3 linked regions of the Lepisosteus oculatus genome follow. The protein of the gene in region 2 interacts with the protein of the main gene of each other region in a pairwise test. Links are inferred from orthologs where the notes say so. Each region holds a gene or a part of one and is shown on either strand. Other genes may lie near its edges.

Region 1 (6,962 bases), on a different chromosome or scaffold from region 2:
GGAACTGAACCTAAGGACAGAGTGTTCAGGCATTGAATAAGAAGGAAACACATTTTTCTGAAATACTTTTGCAACATTCTTAAAGTCCTGAAGTTATTAATTTAATCTTCTAATTTTCTGATGATCGTGGGAGATTCTCATTTAATGATGTTGCACCTGCAGTGTCAGGTGTGCATCAAGAACTCAGTGGGGGTGCGCTCTCAAGTGAGCATATTTGTGTCATAACTGGTTACATGGAAAGTGTTAATTCTCCAGTGGAAATGTAATAAAAAGAGATAAAAAGAAATGAAGATTATCAAATGCAGCAATAAAGATGTTACCAGATTTCAGCGCATTTATTCTATAACCCAATACCCAGTAAAGACATACCAGTGTGTTATTGGTTAACAGTGAATAGCACGAAACAAACCAAATTACAAATTCTTTCCCTGATGCATTCTTTGTGCTGTTTCACTGGCATTACAGTGAAGAATGTGGGTAGTCTAATGTCTAAACCTGCATGGGACAATGGGACAGTCATCGGGCAACCTATACTACAGTGCAGAGGGGTCTGTAGTCAGGACATCAGCGTAAATATATTTCCCCTGAAGGACAGCACCTCCTCACAAACAACAGAGATCTACCTCAGTTCATGAGGCTGCAGAGTAGTGGCATCAAAAGTTTTCACTACTATATCCAAAATTGACAGTGCAGCTGGGAGGAGGATGGAGTCTAATATGCATTAATTTCCAGTGTGAAGAAGCTGAAGTCACGGTCTGTTTCAGACTCCCTGAAGTTAAGGAAGGTAAGGTTACTTTTGCAACCATGGTAATCTCAGCATTTCTCTTGGAATTTCCAATTACATATTTCAAGGTTTCTGCTTCCAGCCTATCATTAAACATGAATGTTGCAACCTTCTTGAAGCTTTTAATGATCAGCAGTCTGTGTTACAAATTTCCAAGGCTTTGGATCAAAACAACCTTAATTCCTGGGGCTTTGCTTTCACACACTCATTCTTGATTTAAAGTCAGGAGCCTTTGGAGTCTTTATTTTAATGACAGGTATGTGACTGTACTCTCTGAAGGTGGCATCTCTATCCACCAGCAATGTGTTAGCATTCTCTCTGTTTCTCCTTAAACCCATGGCAACACAATGCCCCACCAAAATAATGACCAAAATGAACAGCTCTTTAATTTTCATTGCGGAGAGAGTGAGATGGTAGATAATTGAATTATTTGCAGGTCTGAAGCAAAATTACCTGCTGCTAATTGTCAGCAATATTCCTGCTTGGCAGAGGCTGAATCAATGTTCTGTGGTCAGCGGTATCCTAATAAGCAATTTGAGTCTGTTTCCTTACCAGCAGTGTTAGTTCACTGGAGGAGCTTGTGTTGCACGGTCACTAACACTTTGTAAAGTGAGTAGACGGTGTTTAGTTACAGATGGCCTTGGGAGACAAGCCTGCTTACTGCACGTGCATCAGACACCCCATATCTGAGGGAGAGATTTTCTCATGTGTCAGTTTTCCTCCTCTGCCAGACCTAAATCAAAATAATGCTTCTTGCCTCACAAGGAGCTGGAGGACAGGGAGAAACTTAAGCACAGAAAAACGCACGGGAGGGTGCAGGTGAGAGGATGCCTATAAGTTCAGTTCACTTGACAGAGTAGACCTAAAGGGAAAGTTAGCGATTGTGATGCCATTGGGCTCATGGAATGTACAGGAAAAGGAGTACCTGTCAAGAGATCCAGTAGCAATGATCCCATTGTATTCAAGATATGGTATAAGTTTAGTAAAGAAATGAATTCACTTTCATTTAGTTAAAAAATGAATGAATTTTAAAGATTCATCCAGCTATTTATTGTTCTGTTTCTCTGACACAAATGGATTCCCTTGTGGTTTCCAGCTGTGAGCCAGTGTCTTTGTTCCCTAGGTTGACCCTTAGGTGTTGACTTGAATCAAATCTGCTCTCAATTTCCCTTCTTCCAGGTTTAAGAGCTTTAGTTCCTTGAACCTGACCATATATGAAAATCCTTTTAGAGCAGTAATGATACTTGTTGCTGTTCTTTGAACTCTTTCTAAATCTAGATAGTTTTTTTCATGATATGGAGCAGATTACTATCTCTTAAATGAGGTTTTACTATTGCTCTGTAAAACTTGTATACAGAAACCTTTGGTTCAGTGGACGTGTATAAGTGTTTTGCAACGTCATTGCTGAACCCAACTGTCTTTTAAAAATAGAATCCAAGTTGCAAAGATAGATATCTCATCTGGATTACTAGTGGTTGTCTACAGGATGGCGGCTGTTTTAATGGTGTCTCAGTGGGTCTTGCTCTGTTGATTAAATGAAAATACCTCACTCCGCTCTCACTCTGCTCTCTAGGAAAGCAGTGGAGATCTGTGCACCTTCTGGAGTCCCACAAGAAATTCAGTACATCCCTTTGTTCCATTTACCATGTCAGAGAGATTTTGGTCTGGGCAGTCCTCTCAGGTTTGTGAATAAGTGACCACTGTACTTGTTGATACAAGTGCAGCAAGTGTGAACTGAACTTTCAAATTTGCACACCAAGTAAAATACCATATCTTTGTGGACCATGATATGACACACACACACAGACACAAACACAGTCGCACACACACTCCTAGAAACCAATTAACCTCCTTGTGTGTCTTTGGGCTGTGGGAGGAAACAGGAGCACCCATAGGAAACCTACATAGAAAGAACACAGGGAGAGCACCCCAGGTCTGGAACTAAAGCAGGGCCCCAGCCCTGTGAGGAAACAATGCTAACCACTGCACCACTGTGCCACCTTGTCGATACTGAATCATAATAAAAAAGACTGAGTCAGATTCTGGCGCAATCGCTACAGGAGTTTGTTTAGACAGCAGGTTGAGCCTGGTGGTGTGGACAACCTCAGCCAGATGACTGTCATGTTCTGTCTTTACCCTCTTGCCAGCAAAATTCTGCAACCAGTGGTGCCCAGATGCCCAGTCATGACCAGAGCTGGGCAGGACTGAGGCAGCTGGGTTAGACATGGCAACACTGGTCCTTCAGGCTCATCATAAAAAAATCCCATAGAAACTACATTTATTATGCTGGAAAGGACCGTTCGTAAAGCTATGAAAGGATTACAGTCTGGTACATTCTAGTCTAGTTTCACTGTCTAGTTTCTTATGGGAAGTTAATGAGCTTGCCAAACTAACACACTTTGAACAGAGGACTGACACAACCATTATTGCTTATCTTTGGGCACATTGATGAGCAGCTGGGCTGCTGATGTCCAGTACAGCAGGGGTCTCCCACTAGACCCCATGGTGTCTATTTCTGTCCATCTTGGCCCATCAGTACTGCCCATTCCGAGCCTCTGGGGGCACAGGCTGGATTTGAACCTGGAAATCTCCTGGCAGTCAGACACTATTCTCCACTCCAGACAGGGAGTTACCAGAAGAGAATCTGCCTTCCTGTTACACACAGAATTTGAATTCTTCTTCTGCGCGGTCACTACACTTAGAGAGGGTCTCGTGAAAGTCTGAACGAGAGAGGAAATGCTATTTAATTGCTGCTTTTTTGACAGAGTTCTGAGATTAATCTGACAGACCACAAAATACATCCGAATTATTATTCTGTATTCTTATTAAGTCAATGATTTGTTTTGAAATAGTGGAATGAGTGAATTTTTAAACCAATATAGGCAAAGAAATGGCACATTTTCACTTATAAATGGGTGACTTCTTCATTTTTACCGTCAAAAACTAGCTCCCCTGTTGTACTGTTTTCTCCCAAAGCAACAAGATGGAACAAATGCATTCAGCAAAAATAAGCATTTTGCAATTGCGCAGGGAAAAAAAGCAACTTCATCGTGGGAATGATTTTCCTGTGGCCGATTCCAAAAACAGATGACAACACCTCATACCTGAGAAAGGAGTGTTTAGGGAGTGGAGCAATAAAGAGTATTGACAACAATTATTCCAGTACTCTTCGTGGAAGTCTGATGTTACAAAGGCAACCTCACACTGCCACATCGGATAAGACGGAATACTGTGAAGAAATGGATCTTTAATTCAAATCCACTCAGCTGCTACTCTTTTCAGCTAACATTTACTCCTGATTTTTGGGGTTGTTCCGTGGACACTGTGGCCAGAGAAGACCGCAGTGGACAGAAACGATGATGGAGTATGAGCTGTACGCAAAGGTAACTCCCTCTGACTTCTCTCTCTTGTGTTTACAGCAATATCTCAATTTACATGGGATTTAGAAATCAGTATTTGTATTTACAAATGTGTGGTTGCTGTCACAGACAGTGACGGCCAGTGATTTATCATGGCGGGTTAATTCGTAAAGAAATCTATTGTTTAGGTGAAAGCTGTGAACACAGGATACATTTGACTACTCTGTGATACAGTCTGGCTGTGGCACAATGCCATGTCTTTCTACAGAGATCCACGAGTAAGGGTGAGAAACCTTAGTGTTTTTGACCAGCAGCAAATTTTCCTCAAACGGACCAGCTGTTTTAAAGTTGTCCTGCAACGTTTCCCATTTTCTCACCTTTGCCACCTTTCACCAAGATGTTGAAGAACAAGGAGTAATACTTTTGATTATTTTTCTCCATGTAGCAAAAAATATGCTTTCCAATGAATTCAATAATTATTTTCAATAATTCAATTAAGATATATATTGTAATTATATCTCTTTGAGACTAAATTTTAAATGTAGTGCAGGATATACTGTACTTACTATGGTCTGTTGAGATAATACCTAAACATAACTTGCACTCAGGCGGTAAAAAGTTATGCGAGACTACATCATCATCAGTTTCGCAGTGACGCCGCGGCCTGTGCTGGTCCTTCCACAGTCCACAGACACGCTGCCCAGTCCTAATGTCCCCCTGTCCTTGTATGTGTCCTGCGAAGATGCCTACTCCAGGTGTAGTGCCACCTACAGTGCGCCCTTTGCCTACTCAGGCAGTTCAGCTCAGCTCAGGCTTGCCGCGACCCTCTTAGGATAAAGTGCTTATTGAAAGAGGATGGGTATTAACTTTGTGATGTATCCTGTACACGCAGCTTGGTGTCGCACGAAATAATGAACAAAAATCCCCAGATCCAAAACATGTACCTTTGTGAATCTCCAATTAGAAACGTCATATGGGTAACGTGTTCAGCAGATCTCAGATCCGAGCGACAACACCTCAGCTGCTTCTACGCGCTACGGCGCTTCACGGGCAGACCGAGTAACAGGTGGGAATGCCGTAACGCGGCTCGCGGCGCAGTGGTGCCGAATGGGTAAGTCGCTCGCGGCGGCTGCTCCGTGCTCGCGCTGGGACAATGCGGAAATGCGCTGAGCTGGGAGAGCCAGCAGGTGTCTGTAGTCCGGGAAGGGTTTCGACAGGAGCGAGCTGCAATGAGATTACAGCTAAACGGCACGCAAACATGACCGAGTCCATGGACACGAGGGAGAAGTAAGGAGAGCAATTGCGTGGCTACTTTTTTCTCCCTCCTTTTTTTTTTTACTTTTTCGTTTGCCTCCCTCTCTCGGTCGCTTTTTTTTTTAAACTGGTCATTTAACACTTAGCTCACCTTCAGCTTGCGTCCATACCTGCGCTGGGAGCGGCGTGCGGGGAGGAGCAAAGAGTGGAGGAGTGTTTAACACTTGTGTTTTCAGAAGACGAAGAATTAAAAAAAAAACCAAGAAGCCTAGCCTGTTTTAAAGAAAAGGGATTCATCAGCACACACACACACAAAAGATAATAACTAGAAAAAGAAAAACAATCTTTCGTTCTGGAGTTATAAACCTGTGCCTACGCGAAAATGGCGACCGCCGGACAGTCATCTCTCTAACCGGGGCAATACTTTAAATGGGAATATATGCGTTTTTTTTCCATAATAACAGCTGAGGAATTGTGACCAGGCTACATGGTCCTGTTTCTTTTGGTGATCAGAAGGTAACCCATCTCCGCGGAAAAAATGTCAGTCAACGAACTCTATACAAAGGTGAGTACGCATATTGGTGGAACAAGTTTTCGTCAGGCTTCAGGAAGGAGAGATTCGGGGTTTAAGTTCGGGGAGATCTGTGAAAATGCGCACAGAACGGGCTGATATTTTCTCTGCGCCTTCGGCACAGACTAATATTACATATGACTATTTTAGAGACCGCATGGCCGAGATCTCTCCTTTTTTATCCTTCTACTTGCGTGGCTCAGTGTTGCGATGAAAAGAATAAAGTACAAATGGAAGAAAATAGATGTTTCAGATAAGCGCCGGGTGCTTGGCTGGCAATCGATTACATTATTAACCGTGTCCTCTCTGATTTTTATTATTGTTTTTAACGACATTCTGTAACTTGCTGTGATGATATTATTCAATATTTCAGATGGGTGGTTTCAAAATGACTATTTTCAGGGGAAATAGTGAGAAATATTTAAAACGGGGAATACACATCGTACTTGGTTTTCATTAAATGTAAAAGCAAGAAAGTTTTAAGATGCGAGTCGGTCATCGATCTCCCTGGCGAAGAAGAGGACTTACATTTCTGTGGGTTTTATTTCAGCGAGGAGTATCGCGAGGGAGGCTACAGTTTTGAGACCACGGTGATCAATGGTGTCATTATGTAACGTCGCGCTTTTGTGAAATAGGTCCTGGCGTGTGGTGAAGTTGGAAAAAGAGCGGAACTTTGCTCTTCCGTTCTTCGACATTATTGTAGCCAGGTTACTGCAGGAGAGCAGGTGCAGTTCTCCGAGTTGGTTTCGTTGTGGTTTCGCTGTCACATTAGGGAGTGTGTGCAACTTCCTTATATTCTAGCGCTTACGTGCTACAACAACAATAACAACAATTTTGTGCTCTGCTTTTTCATCCTCGGACATTTATCTTCAAGCTAAGTGACATGTTTCTGTTCTGGTGCTCTGTTTGGTTGTGTACGCTTTGCATCGGTTTCCAGAGTGCAACTCTAAAGCAATGTCAGTGAAAGCCTAATAGTCCATTGTCTCTATGATTG
Region 2 (8,022 bases):
GAAAACAGTACCCCTTGTTTAGGAGCTTCCTTAGAACCCAGCACTGCTTTATTTCTGTGGCAGCCTGAGAGTGTAGACATATGGTTACAGAGTGAGAGTGCAACTGTCAGGTTTTATCTTTAACGTTTTTGAAAACTTTGGTGCAGCATCTTAATCCAGAAATATCAACATGAAGGGTATGTTTAAGGCACGACATTTCACTGGGCTGAGTAGACTTCAGTACTGATGTCTTTTTCATTAAAAAAAATGAAAATATGATATATAAGTATATAACATGTTTGTGTAAGGTGTCTGTGACATGCTAATTATGAACAGATCTCACATTGTCACTTACTATTATAAATTAGGGTGACTAATGTTCTAAATCAAGCATTATGCCATGTCTTATCAATGTAATAATGTAAATCAAATGACATGTTAAATATAAAACAAAATGCCTCTATGGTCATCTGAGCATGGTCATATGGGTTCTTCTTTCCTGGCACAATTTTATATTTTATAGGTAAAATAAGTTGAAGACAAACCTAAAAGAAAGATAATGCCTATAAAGCTAACACATCAACACAAATTGTTTTGTGTTTTTTCAAATTTGTAACAGACTAGTCGATGAGTCAAGGTCTTGTACAATCCAAAGATTCCATCACTTGACCCCTGAAACACAGACCTATCCTTGAGACATAGCACATTGGGAAGTAATGCTGGTTTGTGTATAACCCTCCACAGGACAACCTGCTATCCTGTAATAGCTAAATTACAAAAATTATTGCACTGAACCTTTGATTAGAATATACCCACTTAGTATTGAAATACCTCTGGTCTCTTCCGAGCTCAAAAATAACTAGGTTTTCAATTTTCAAACAGGAGGAGTTTCGGTCTGTTTGAATGTGAAAGTCACTCACAGTGTCAAGTTTCTTCATCTCAGGGGGTGACAGTAAGCATTATGGAAGACCCTACATCTGATGTACGAAGCTGGTCTTGTTGGAAAACCTGGACCAGCTGTTCATCTTTTAACTTGCTATTTGAGTTACCTTGCTTAGACATCTTTCACAAAGGTCACTGCTAAACTCCCACTCCCAGGAAAGAAGTTATGTATATGTGGGTGTAGATTGTCAGCATCGATTTTCTGTGCCTAGCCCACTACAGCTACTTAATTCATTCCAGTTTACAGTTCTGCCATAGTGATACTGGGTTATTGTAGGCCAACTAATCCCTCCAACTGCCCTGTAAGTCTTCACCCTGCATAATTCGGCAGACAGACTGGAGCCAATCAACAGGTGGCATATGCAAACTATTATTTAACCTTAGTTATTAGCCTCTATTTGCTAGATGGTAAAGATGTTCAATGGCGAGGTAAATATCCATATTGGTATAACTATCACACAACCCTATTATCACAAATCTTCACAGAAAATAATTAGAAAAAAATCTATGAAATACAGTAAATCTATATGAAATTGCACAGGAATTAGAAGAATTAGTAAACAAAAGTGAGAAGTATAATGTTATTCTGATCTGCTTTAACTCAAAATTTTAAAATACATATATTTGATAACAAAATTATTACATCTAATACTGTTGTCACGCCTATTAAAAATAGAGGTAAGCTGACTCTATAAAATAGAATAATATAATAATTTGCCAGTTTTGCAGCTGTGACAACACCCCCTGTGTAAACTGTTGCTCGGCATTAAATGTGCTGTTGTACCTAACACAGATTCACATTAAGTATGTTGAGCCCTACTACTGCCAGTGCGGCACCATTCAATAAACTCTTGTGAAGACAAAGACAAATTTCCTTATACTGTAGGTAAGATATATGTTCTAGGCATGTTAAAGCAATTTATGAAAAGGTGCATTCTCAAATGATGCTATGTAAATAATGTACATATTGATTTATAATAGCAAATTGATAGGTGAAAGGAAATGAACACTCTGAAATACCCACAAAAGCACTACACAGCCCTTAGAATAAAATAGTTTAGTGATCTGAAAGGAAGGCGGAAACATGATGTGAGGCCTGACAGTAATTTGTGTTCAAGAACATCTTGAGTGTTCCTTTCTGTTCTAGACTTTGAAAGTAGTCTTACCAAAAACTATATCATGAGGGAAACCAAGAACCCAGCAGGTATCTAAACTTTGTGAGACAACATACACAAATAAAAGGAAAGACTCGACCATGAACTGCTACCATGAGGCATGCAAATGGAAATGAAGTATTTATCATTCTGGAGTGCTGAAGGAAACTGAAAAAAGACCATCTTAGTTCAACCTTTAATCTCCAATAGGACAAAAAGGTTGCAAAAAAATCAGATAAGCTAGTTCAAACAGTGTATTGTGCTCTAACCCGAATTTCCTTTTCTGTATTTTGTTTGTTGAACTTCAGCCTCCTCGGCTCTTAAGTTATCATACGGGAGACTGTGTTGACAGTATGTTTACATTCTTCACAGACAGTTTGTCCTCCCGTCATCCACTGAGCCAAAAATACAAAACCCAGCTCTCTCAACTCCTTCTGTGATAGAAAATACAGATGATTTGTGCGATACTGTCAAATAAAAGTTCAACTGAAGCCCAAGAGACCTCAAAGAGGTCAAGGGAAGCTTGTCTTTACCATCATTTTGGCACCCACTGTCTTTAATACTATTACATTATGTTGAAAATCCTAAGTCACTTACACAAAAAAAAAGAAACCCTTACCTGGAAGACATCATTTGCACACTTCCTACACAGGTTGTGCTGGCAGGGCAGTATCACCACAGGTTTGGTGAACATTTCCAAGCAGATGGGGCAAATCAATTGCTTCTCCAAGCTGTCCATTGTGTTCGAGTCCCCCAGCAATGGTTTGTAGCCCAGCGCAAAGTTCATCCCCTCAAGAGTGCACGGCCAACTCTCTGAAAATCGTTAAATGTAACTATCGACCACTTCCCTCCTATTTCTTTCTTGCCCTCAGTCTTCTGCTCTGTTCCTCAACGATGCCTTCAACAGAATGGTTCTGTTATTTTAGCAACACTTTGTTCTGGCTAGAGTTACTTTTTCTCTAAACCTCACACTACACAGGGACTGGGATGTCCCCTCTGGCCAATGGCACTCAGATGTGGGGGAGAACAGCATTCCTTGTTCCATTTTTAACTTCTGAAATGTGATAAGGGGAATGACTGACAGACCATTTGTCAGGCCTGGATCAGATGTTTCTCAGTCACGGAGCCATGAGGGACTGCTGGAAATGCCAGCACCAACGACATGGAGTATTTAAACCGTAAACACTGGGAGGAAGACAAGAGGACATGATCAGAGATGCCAAATGAAACCTTGGCCTTTAACAATTCAATCACCTTGTTCTCTGCAACAAATCTCTGCAGTATTGTATTTCAGTACGTAATTAAAAACTATATTTCACAGCTTCTTCCCAGCAGTCAAAAACATTTCTACTTTAAAGCTGACCTTAGAAGCTTTGGCTGTGGTTATAATCTTATCATGGTTTTCAGCTCAGCCCTGAGAATTGAACAAAATATAAACAAGTCAGTGCAAGATGACAGCCTTTATGCTGTTGAGTGATTTAACAAGTTTACAAAAGGTGGATTATAACAGAAAATATTATCCCTCCAACCCCCTTTTAATTAAAAAAAACTAGTAAAACATTGCATTGCTTATTGGAAATTAAAACATTTACAAGTGACAATTCCAAAAAATATCTCCAAGACGTCACAGAAATGTCTTTATCCATTTTTCATTTCAGATTACGTACGGTCACATGTCCAAGACTTGTTATATTTATCTTCAAATTTTGACCTTGCAAATCATTTTAAAATGGTAATTAATACAATCGTTATGACTCCAAAATTAATGACTCATCATTTGCCAGATCTTATGGAACACAGCCAATCCGATTTGGAACAACTCCGTCTTCACACCCAGCAGATCCTAACGTCATTTGAGTCTTTCATCAGAATTGCAATTTTCAAAGCTCTCACTTTGAGGTGTACAACTGATGACTAACAGTCATTATTAATAGAGATGTTGTCTCTTTCTGTGTGTGGAGAGGGACTATTACTAAAACTACACTCCAAGAGTTTCAACTCCGAAAGGAAGATTAAGAAAAATTCAATCAAAAGAGAGAAAATCTTATTACCGTACTACTACTTAGCCTCCTGAAAGCAGAACTCTGAAGACACCCACTAAGTAACGAAAGAAAAAATGAGCCACACCAAACTTGATATAAACCCCACCTCCCCTCCCTTTATTTGGTGGTATAAATATACATGTTTGCAAGTCAGGTCTGTATAAGGACATTTGGAACAATAAGAAAAAGAAAAATAAGGGAACAATAATCAGCGAGACCAAAAAAAACAAGTATTTTACACAACATTTGTGAAGAAACCTAAAACAAACAGACTTCTCTGCCAGCATAACCAACATTACCATAGATACTCCTTATTTCTTAAGCCTCAAACAACAATTCCAATTTTTTGGCTACTGTCAGCTCTCCAAAACTGCCAATAAACATAATACATTCATTAAAATTAAACTTTATATATAAACTAAAAAGTAAACATTAAAATGGAAAGAATTCTTAAAATATCTGCCTTGACATCTTGTGGAGATGAATCTGTCATTTTCTAACTTAATTATTGGTAGTTAAGATTGCTAGTTGCCAGTACAAAACCGTGATTTCCACAAAAATATTGATTGATTGCTGACTGTTAATTGTATGATTTATTTGCAAACAGATTGCCATAACCTCCGTTACATAGATTTAAACAGAAACATTGTTAAATTTCAAAATTGAATAAAGCTAACTAGTGCTTGAACCTCGGTCCCAACTGTAAATACTGTACTTAAAGCAAAACCTTCTAAGCCACCAGTGAAATTATCTATTTTACTTTTTTAAACAGTTGTACACGACCATATTAAAAATTTGTTAACTAGAATGAACCTTTTCCCGAGAAAGAGGCCCAAGACTAACATCTAGTGCAGCTGGTATTTTAATATTTATTTTTGACAGCAGTCCCTGCCTTTAAACATAGTTTAAGATGGTGCATTTTTAAAACGGATTTCAGGAGAAGAAATCTGTGAATTATGAGATAAGTGGATTTTGCACTTTGTGGTTTTACAAGTTATTTAATTGATGCACTCATTCTGTTAACACTGATACTTCTGTATTTCACTAAAGTGCTGCATCATCAGTCACAAATCAATAACAAAATCTAATGACACAAAACCAATTGGCATTTTACTATAAATGAAAAAAGTATAAATGCTGTTATTTACAGGTTTCAAGGTGGGTAGTCAATTCAAAATTAAATTACGAAATCAGGGCACTTTATTATTGCCATTTTCAACTGTGCTCTGTGGCACAATATAAAGTGGCCTTATAGACTAGATACATGTATACTAAATTGCTTATTTGGGATAAGTTAGATGATGGAAACACATTTAAAACAAAAAAAATCAAAATGACCAACATTTAAAATCTAGGTTTCCTAATCCATGATCATCACTAAATAAAACCATGAAATAGTTTTGGGGACAGATGATGGGCAAACCACAGAATTAGAGAAACCACATTGCACCACACAACATACAGCTGAAAAATACAAAAAGACAGCCAACAACAGTATTTGGCAAACATTCAGTTTGTTAAAAATGCTGCAATGACACCAAAACCCAGAAATTTACTGAATGTGCTCAGCTCCCCAAAGTACAAAAAAAGTAATGGAAAACTATACTTATTAAATATCCAAACTATGAATAAGCTGGAGGACTTAGAAGGATTTGCACACAGTCTTGTGTTTAGAGTTCAAGCAATAAAAATGTCTAGCACTGAAAAATAGTTATCTACCTCGCTCATCTCATACTCACAATAGTTTAAGGACAGAGACAAAAACATTTAGACCATTTATGTGAAGAAAATGGCCTTCTTGTTACAACAGTAGACCAGTGTTAAATTATCAGCAAGTAGCACAGAAAGCAAAAAAAACATACATTTGGCATAGCAGTCTTTTATGCTGCATATATTGTCCGAGTGAAGCTTCCTGACTACACAGCATTACTTTAAAGAAAAGTACAAAAGGCTTGAAACTCTTTTGATTGATCCAGAATCCAGAAACAAAGTTCCTTCAGTAGCAGCACTCCAAGAGGTTGTGGACATAAAGTGGTCAGCACACATAACCCCGTCCTGCAGATGACTATGAGCTTGGCGTGACTCATATCTAACATACCAAAATCTTCCTTCTTGCTAGTCAAAGGCTAATGGAGCCTGAGGCCACTCTGTCGCCTCTGTACAGCACCAATACCAGAGCCCAGAAAGCCATCCTCTCAGTCACTCCAAAAACTACACTTTCCACAGCTACTACACAAAGGCTGACTATCCACCCAATACAACTAATTAGAAACAATGTAAATACACATTCCAGCACATCGCTGGTAATCCTTTCCATTAATTATGATGCCTTTTTGGTTTCCAAAAAAAAGGCCCTGTAGATTTTCATTTTGGTAGAAAAGAACCCAGAACCATTTCTTTAGGACTCTGAAATCTCACAAAAAAAATCTATTTTAATTTTATCCAATTTCCATTAAAATCAAGTACTTTAATCCTACACGGAGGGCCTGACAGGTACGAGATCTCTGTACCAGAAGCAGGAGGCCGTTTTATAATGCTCTCTTCACTCAGGAACTGGCACAGATCTCGGTGTCTTAAACCAAGGTGGTTATTTGATCAAAAACTACAATTATGTTTTGATTTTGGTCAAGCATTTATATTTTAGCATAGCACCTACATATACCTTTCGGTTTTGGGCTACAAAATGTAATGAACGGTCAAAGTAGAATTAAAGTGCTACTTTTTTCATTTAAAAAAAAGGTTGACTGGGTGATTTCTGCTTTTTATTAGGAAAAAAAAAGCAACACAACCTTGAGCTTGTAAACACTTAAACCCTCTTAAGTGAGACTCCAGAGAACTACAGACACGGCAAAGATTCTTGTTACATGGCACAAGGTCAAAACGTACAACAGAGGACATGCATCAGGTACATGCACTTAAGACACGAGCACATCCACCTATCCATGCAACAGTATCAGGATGGCACTTGGACAAAGTTTTGACCTGATAAACTGAAACTCTTTCACATCTTGACTGGGCTGTTTTGGTACAGTAGTAATTCGCTTTCCAATACCAGAGCAACATTACACTTTGATGGTGGCAATAATTGTTCCCCAACACATTTTTTTTTCTTTGTCAAGAGTGCCACATTATGCTTCATATCACATGCCATTAACTTTCCTAACCATAAACGTGTGGGAAATCACATAGGTATTGGCATCTGCGAACGTCAAGGTAGGAAGTCTTTCGAAGGGCTGGTGCTGCTAGTTAGTTCTCGGTCACGTAGCTGAGCTTTTGGCCTGTGGAAAGCTGGGTGGACTCTGAAGTGCAGATTGTGGAATGTGGCTGAATCACAATTGGAGGTCTTGTATCTGAAAAGAAAGACAAGTTTAGATGGCATATTTCACCATCTGAGCAAAGACGGACAGCTCTCAACTACACTCCTATCTTTCGCAACAATCATGTCTGTCTTCCACAGTTCTGTCCAAAATTGCTTTTTATCCTTGATATTGATATGAGGTTTTCAGCTTACAGAATACAGTTGAAGTAAGGATTTAACAAATCACTATGACTAGAAATCACTCCAAACCTTCCTTCTAAATCGTGTTGATTTAACACAGGCTGAAAAGGGATGACTCATCTTGACCAAGTTCAACCCAAATAATTCACTTTGAACCAGTGGAACAGCAGAGGAAACAAGGATGCAAATCAAATCAGTTGCATCAAAAACATGTACTTCACTGTCATTTTCTACTGAAAAAGCTTGCTTCAGAACACATAAGCACTGAGGAGCAAACCTACCTCCCCTGAAACAGCTCACCCATGTGTTCACTTGAGTCCTTTCCAGGGAAGCACGGAATAAAATGAGAAGAGTATATTTCATGACACTATTTTGAAAACCCCATTTCAAAACTAAAGTCCAGTGC
Region 3 (7,249 bases), on a different chromosome or scaffold from region 2:
GGAACTAAGGCTCCTCGCTCCAAGTTTTTTTTTTCCCCTCACCTTTTTTGGGGGGGGAGGGGGTTTCTGCTGAAAAGCCAACTTCACAGCTTCCGCAGCCGATTCTGGCTCTTTGTTTAAACTCTTCTTCGAGTCGGTCTCTGACAGCACCACAAAAAAGTGGTGGCATTTTTCACATTTCACGAAGCGGGTTGAGGCTAGAACACAAAAAAAAATCAACAAACAAAAAGTTTACAGCAGGATGGATTTGACCCCCATCTTCAGGCTGGATTGAATTAAAGCTTTGGCCTACCTGCACACCACATTCTTTGGAAAACACAGCTTCATTTTTTGGAAACGCAGCTTCATATGAAATCACTCTGTACTGTAGTGATGCTTCCACTACCAACTGTAAATCTCAGTACGCTCATTCTGAAACCTACAGTCAATTTTTGTTTCAGATTTCCTTCCTTCAGCCACAAACTACTGGATTCCAGCGACAATGCATGAAAACAGTATCATTGCATCACTAGATAGATAAATATTAAAATTTAAAAAAAGCCTTCACCAGTCACCTAGTTACTGAATACAGGCATAACCAGGCCCAGCTTCTCAGAGTCAATGAGAACATACCACAAAGTGATGAAGTCATTGCAGATATAATTCTGAGGAAGGGCAAACTTGACTTATTCAGTCAGTATTAATGTTCTGAAGAAGTGTCGTCTGCTTGTCTTTGTTTTTTACACAGATCTAATACTCCTAAAATAACACTTACAGACAAAGGTTTCCACATGAGTGCATGGGTCCCCACACTTAGGACAGTGCAGATGATTTCCTCCTTTTCCTGAATTTCCAGATCCTGTGGACCTTTTCCCACTGCCTTCGCCAACGGATTTCTGGTTTTTAACAAACATTAAGAGAAAACGATCAGAAATGAAGATGTGTTTTTCAGATGTACTAAAAAAATTTAACATTACACACCCAATACAGCATTTGACCACATGGACGAAGGGATTTTTTTGTTAAAAAGCTTGACGTTCACTTCTGTGATCAGAACGAGAACAAATGAACTAGGATTACCTTTCCCCCATCTCCAGGACCATCTTTAGCTGAGCTATCCTTTGATGCAAAATACACAGCTGTCTCTGAAAACGACCGGACAGGCAGTCTCCTTGCCAAGTGAACTTCTTGTGCCCCTGGTCTGGTCAATGTATATAAGTGCATCCGAGAGCAGGAGATTCCTGTAACACAAGAGATTAGCAAACGGAGTGAGATCCTGTTGGAGGAATGCACTGGGTTTTTATTATTTAAGTCAGAGGATATTCCTGAACCAACACACCACCAGGTAAGCCTACGTTGATCTCGAGGCTAGAAAATTCACATGACTTCCACTTAAGAAGACGTCACACCTAGCACTTTTCTTCCAGGAAAAAAAAAATGATTACAGCACAAGCAACAATGAACCAGGAACACATAATGAAAGAATGGGTAAAATATCAGTTACAATGCTATATCACCATGACAAGAGAACTGTTTCTTGACCTATTTTAAATAAAAACAAAGAAAGCCTTTATAGTTCTTTGTTGATTGTTTTTTTATTGCAACTGTTGTGCTAGACTGTAACAGAAACATTTCCCCGAGGGGATAATTAAAAAGCTTCATGCACAGGTTCGTCAAGAAAGTCGCCATTTCTGTGAAAAAATACAGAATACTAGAATTTTTTTTGAAAAGGTGTAGTTAAAGGTTAACGTTAACTAATTTCATATTCAATTTTATAAAAGAGGAATGCAGATATTGTAGTGCTCTATCACATTTTAAACACGCGAATCGCCTGATAATGCACATTAGCACAGAAGCGCTCAAATTTCTGAGTTGCTTTGACCGAGTACACCAAACTCACGGCTCACAGGAGTAAGGCTTAGACATATTCTTAATAGTTACAATAATTTTTAACAGACGCCCAAAGACTAAATTGGTGTATTCATTGTTTTTTTTATCAATGGTTTTAAGGTGTTGCCAAGTGCTTTCTTCCAATAGCAAAAATAAAAATCAAGCAACAGTATTCTGGCAGGTAAATTCTCATGCTTATCAACAACGACGCAGAAGAACATCAAAATGGTACTGACAATAGGTCGGGAAAGAAAGTACAAACGAGAAACATCGTATTACAAAAAGCTCTACATGAAATACTGTAGATGTAAATTGTTAAAACTCAATAACTAACACGCATTTCGCATTTCCCAGATATTATAATGCAGCAAAGTGTGTAAAGGCAGGAAAGCAATCTACTCAAATACACGGATTATAATATAATACCATTTCCAAAAAAGCCATATGTAAACCAAATAGGAGGAAAAAACGTTTCAGAAGAGTTACCTTTATGAGCGGAATTCATTAGCAGTCTCGCGGCTGCAGAACACGTGCAGGACATAGCTGCTCACTGGTGTCCTTTACTTTAAGAAAAAAGTCCAGTCAGAAAATAAGAAGTATATTAACTCCGCACTACAGCCTTGTAACAGCACGTTCTGTTCCAGGAGTGCCGATGTTGACAAATTGTTGGTAGGCCACAGCCCGTCAACACCGAAACACAAACCAACGAATAGCAAGAACATATAAAACCGCGTCTAAAACGTTAAGACAGCACCGTTTCCCGTGACTGCAAATGTACACAATGCAAACGATGAGCAGTCGGTGTGAAACAGAAACAACAATATGGTCAAAAAGCCGTTTCTCAGGTGGCCTCAACGACAACAAACTATCCCGAAGCTACAGCTCCACACCGAGGAAAGAAATCCGTCGAGTCACGGCGTTTTAAAAGGAGGTTCCGGCTCGGACGAGGCTGTTTGTTTGTCTAGCGGAGTACACTTCGCAAACGTATTTCACGGGGAAAAAAATATTTTTTCCGTGCTATAAAGTGACACTGTATTGCACTCAGTGTGATGTAACCCCCCTACCGCTTCAATCTAGGTCAGCTAGGTATGGAGCTAACTGCACGAACCTGCCAGTGTTACGTAGCTGTTTGGGCTACATCACATGTCACAAAGGGGTGGAGAAAATAGTTAAAAAAGTGCAACTTTAGTACTGTAGTGCGAAGATGCTGATGGTTGTTTCGTGCAGTGGGGGGGGGGGGGGTGTGTGTGTGTACCATTAGAGTTTTTTTTAAACTAAAGACAAACTGCAAGAGTCATAGCACGTTTGTGTTTCCGTTTCGGCGACGTGAATTCATGTTAGCAGAACTGTCAAGTGAAATGCTGTGCTTTCGAAACAGTGTTTGGTAATGTAAACTGAAGTGTTTTCAAACCTCTTTTTCTAAAAACTCCTCATGTTTAGCACATTTTAAACATGAATGCACGTACACTATTTCCAATTCACGGGGAATCCGGAGGATCACGGCAAGTAACGGCCCCAAAGTGGAGTACCCTCTGGAAGCCAGTCCACTGCAGGACACACACAGACAGCAGGGACACGTTTCCAAAAAAGCCATTTAACCGGAGCCAGAAGCCAAAAACCAGAGCACCAGGAAGAAACCCATGTGAACAGGTGGAAAACACACAGACTCCAAGTAAACAGCACCCACGGTCCAGAATTGAACTGAGTGAAGCGAGACAGCAATTAGGATATTTTCATCTACTTTAATATATATATATATGCTGCACAGTAGTAGTACCCAGACTACAGTTTGCTGTAAATCAGTGGTTTCTATTTCTGGTCCTGGGGGAACACTGTACCTGCTGGTTTTCATTCTGTTTGCATTTTAAACTTAATTTTAAACAGATTATTTACAGTAACTTGTTTCTTTGGTCAGTCCAGAGTTTCAAAAGAACATGCAACTTACTTCCAAGTGCGCAGCTAAGTGGAAACTATATGGGGGTGCATTTAATACCGAATAAAGGAGGCACCTTTTTACCCACAGGGTTTTGGGAATCTGGACTACCCAGCCATACTGTTGAAGGCAATACCCTGGCGTCTTTCAAGAAACGGCTGGAACAGCCAACATATCTGTTTGAGGAAAGTTCTGAAACTCAGAAACTGGTACAGAGTGAGATATCCCTATTACAAATCCCATTCCACCTTTCAAGACCTGAAAATAAATGTACCGTTCTGCCCCCAAATAGTAAACTCAAATCCACAAACAAGCCTGCGATGAAGACCTCGCCTGGAGAACAAACAGGAGGACGCGGTGTTCGTCCAGGACCAGGGCTGCACATCACCGCCTGTTTATCCAAGAGTGAAAAATGTCGCTATATCTTTAATGAGCGTCAGGGTCAACGTGAAGCCTTTCTGGTCCGCGCAGAATCAGTGCGCAGATCGCGGAAGTGCCCTGCAGTGTGTGTGTGTGTCATGTGACTTTGGGAAGAGAGGAGTAGCTCTCTGCGAATCCAGGGATTTGAAAGTGTACGACAGAGAGGGGCTGGATGGTACCAAAAACAAACACGGTAATTTTCTTTGTGCTTTATGTTTTTTTCTTTCGAAAGATACGATGGTTAACCTTTTTTCAAAGACGTCCGCCCCTACGTTTGGTGTGTGTGTTCTTTTATTAATACGTTGAAAGTTAGGATCTCTGTTATTGTTGCTGACGGTAGAACTCAGTTTTACCCTATCCGTACGAAGTTCACAGTTTTTGGACCACTTTCGCAGTTTTTCTTTTAAGAAGAGAAAGTAACTTTTAATGCTATTCAGGGCACACTGGTACGCCAAAACGGTGCGCATCTGATTCGTGTATGTGTCTGCAAAAACATGACTGGAATAAAGCTCCTTTGAGCTCGTGAAAGCTGCGTGGTTTTTAGATGTTTGTGTAATATGTCCTGTTCTACGACTCAATGAACCATATCTCGGGAAGCGCTTTTACCCAAACATGTTTTTAAAACTGAATCACTGAAGTGGATTTCTTGCATTCAGCTCATAATCAAGCCCAATCACTGAAATTCATTGCCGAGTGTTGCCAAAACCTCTCTCAGATACTTTTAAGCACATGTGAACACCTATTTCCCCCCCGTATATGTTATGAGAAAGTCGTTTAAATTCAGAACGATTCAATTTTAAATTTTGCTATCAACATAGAAAAAGGAAAACAGCTGCTCGAAAAAGTACCGAGTAAAAAAAAGACGTTCACAGCGGCTACATTATAGTAATCTAAAGTATATTCTCCAGAACTATTACTATTAACCACCTGTTTTATTGTTTCCCGAAAGCTATGTTTGACTGGCACACGCGCTAAATGTAAAGTTGTGTTCTTACAGTTGTTGTTAGGGCTATGGTTAGATAAACATTTTATAAAGCGAGATGTTTTTTTCCCCAGACCAGTTGTAACAAAATATCAGAATTAAAGGATTGCAATTATTCCAGTGATTTGTCATCAACTCTAATAGTGACACAGGCTGGGGTTGAATATGCTGGGTGACCGGTGAGGGTTACCTGATGTGAATTCTTCAAGAGAATAACTGCAAAAGGTCACTTGCTAAACCATTCATGTCCCCCGTTACAGAATATTATTTCATCATGATAAAGATCTGTCAGACACTGTGCTTAAAGCTTTAAAAGCAGGGGCAGTGTAATCAATTTAATATCTCAAGCCGTATTATAATGACAAAGTGAAATAGAGAAAGCTTTGGTCACGATGGCCTTTTTCCACACAAATCATGTGGTGAGAGTGACAGATACGCTGTCAGTCTATCCTCACATGGTGAAATCTGAACTGTCAATAGCTTAGTGATGCCAAGCCAAAAGAGCCTTTTTTTATTCCTGACTTTCAGTTCTTGACATCTTTGCAGGTCAGCCATAGAATGTATAGATTTTTTTCCCTTGGTACATTCATCACCAGAGTCGGTTTATTTGTGGATATGTGTTTTTTGTGTTGTTATTAAGGCAATATTGAGCAACGTCCTTCCTCCTTCCAAGCCATGGAGGAGATAAGAGTGTCTCCTGACTACAACTGGTTCAGAAGCACAGTTCCACTTAAAAGGGTAGGTTTCTTCTCTCTCATCCTGTCTTTTCAGGTTTGGTTCTTGTAAATGAAAAACTCAGCAAAGAAAGTAAAACTCTAAGAGCCAAAAATACTTTCTTGTAACTTCCCTCGGTGAGCTTGTGGTTTGTCAGCTGTTATTCACAACATGGAATTCAGAAGCTAAACTGTACCACAGAACAAGCAATCTGCATCACAGGTGCTAGGTTACTTGTTAAAGAATAACTTATTAACTACTTTTAATATTTATTATAGTCATTTTTCAGTTTTCTTGTTCTGTGCAGCTCTTTACCAGGAGTTGAAGAATTGCTCATGAGAGGCTGATTTGTTTCAGCAGTTATCTTAGGCTGCAATCTCCTTTTTGCAACATGTTGGCAACGTGTGATTCTCATGTGACCTAAGCACACTTTTTTATAACGTGTAAAAAAAATAGTTCTCAAAAACCACTCGAGATGAGTGCTGCCATTCAGAAACTAGGTGACAAAGTACACATGGCAGACGGTTAGGCTGTGCTCCTAGATTTTCATTACAATTGGAAGAGCCCTCAGACTCATCTCACCCTGGTGTGAGTCAGTTTGGACGGTGGGGGAGGGACATGGTCTTTGTTCACCTTTCATGTGTTAAACAGTACCTTTGGAGTCTGTGTAATGTTTCCCACAGATTATCGTGGATGATGACGACAGTAAGGTTTGGTCCCTGTACGATGCAGGGCCAAAAAACATAAGGTGTCCCATCATATTCCTTCCACCTGTGAGTGGCACGGCGGATGTGTTTTTCCAGCAGGTTCTGGCTCTGACGGGATGGGGTTACCGGGTGATCTCTGTGAGTATGCCGTCGGCTGCTTTCCTCTGCATCTGTGCAGCTGTGAGATTCTGGTGGCGTGGTGCGTTACAGTTCACAGACCTATCCATGCCCTTGTTGAATATGAGCTAAAAGTTGATTTAGCAAAGAAAGCTCAGGTGTTCATGTACAGTATGAGTTCTATATTCAGTACATCAATAGTGCAACTGTAAAAACAATTGGTATTTGTCAATTCACAGTGTTAAAATGTACAGAGTATTGCAAATAAATGTAAAGAATGTTGCATGTAAATATGTTGAGAACTGTTGTGGGAAATCCTTCATCCAAGGAGCAGGACACAGTCTTTGTGGATTCAGTTGTTTTATTGAGCTCAATAATGACATCAACACGCGTTGGGTCTGCCCTGCAGGACAGACAAACTGCAAGGGTTTCCCAGCTCTTATATACAGTAAGATATATCAGGAAGGGCGGAGCGGTGGCTCTGTGGCTAAGGATCTGCGCCTGTGA

What was found. The genes of interacting proteins can lie anywhere in the genome.
Region 1: the proteins of trim54 (region 2) and myo5b interact in binary tests that used the Homo sapiens proteins (3 or more experiments, as listed by UniProt). The two-hybrid records come from large-scale screens. The link is inferred for Lepisosteus oculatus from reciprocal best matches to the Homo sapiens genes TRIM54 and MYO5B.
Region 3: the proteins of trim54 (region 2) and spg21 interact in binary tests that used the Homo sapiens proteins (3 or more experiments, as listed by UniProt). The two-hybrid records come from large-scale screens. The link is inferred for Lepisosteus oculatus from reciprocal best matches to the Homo sapiens genes TRIM54 and SPG21.

Annotation. Positions count from the first base shown.
Region 1 is NC_090698.1:15,109,220-15,116,181, forward strand, and holds the start of myo5b (unconventional myosin-Vb), read left to right. Parts: upstream 1-3,929; 5' UTR 3,930-4,140; coding exon 4,141-4,167; intron 4,168-5,148; exon of another isoform or gene 5,149-5,935; coding exon of another isoform or gene 5,936-5,962; intron 5,963-6,962. UniProt on the Homo sapiens protein: May be involved in vesicular trafficking via its association with the CART complex. The CART complex is necessary for efficient transferrin receptor recycling but not for EGFR degradation.
Region 2 is NC_090697.1:57,978,641-57,986,662, forward strand, and holds the start of trim54 (tripartite motif-containing protein 54), read right to left. Parts: upstream 3,104-8,022; 5' UTR 2,863-3,103; coding exon 2,695-2,862; intron 1-2,694. Other genes in the region: dnajc5ga (dnaJ (Hsp40) homolog, subfamily C, member 5 gamma a), read right to left, coding at 7,364-7,467. UniProt on the Homo sapiens protein: May bind and stabilize microtubules during myotubes formation.
Region 3 is NC_090700.1:49,310,142-49,317,390, reverse strand, and holds the start of spg21 (maspardin), read left to right. Parts: upstream 1-4,216; 5' UTR 4,217-4,231; coding exon 4,232-4,415; intron 4,416-5,844; coding exon 5,845-5,942; intron 5,943-6,601; coding exon 6,602-6,763; intron 6,764-7,249. Other genes in the region: clpxa (caseinolytic mitochondrial matrix peptidase chaperone subunit Xa), read right to left, coding at 43-197, 755-875, 1,060-1,220, 2,356-2,410. UniProt on the Homo sapiens protein: May play a role as a negative regulatory factor in CD4-dependent T-cell activation.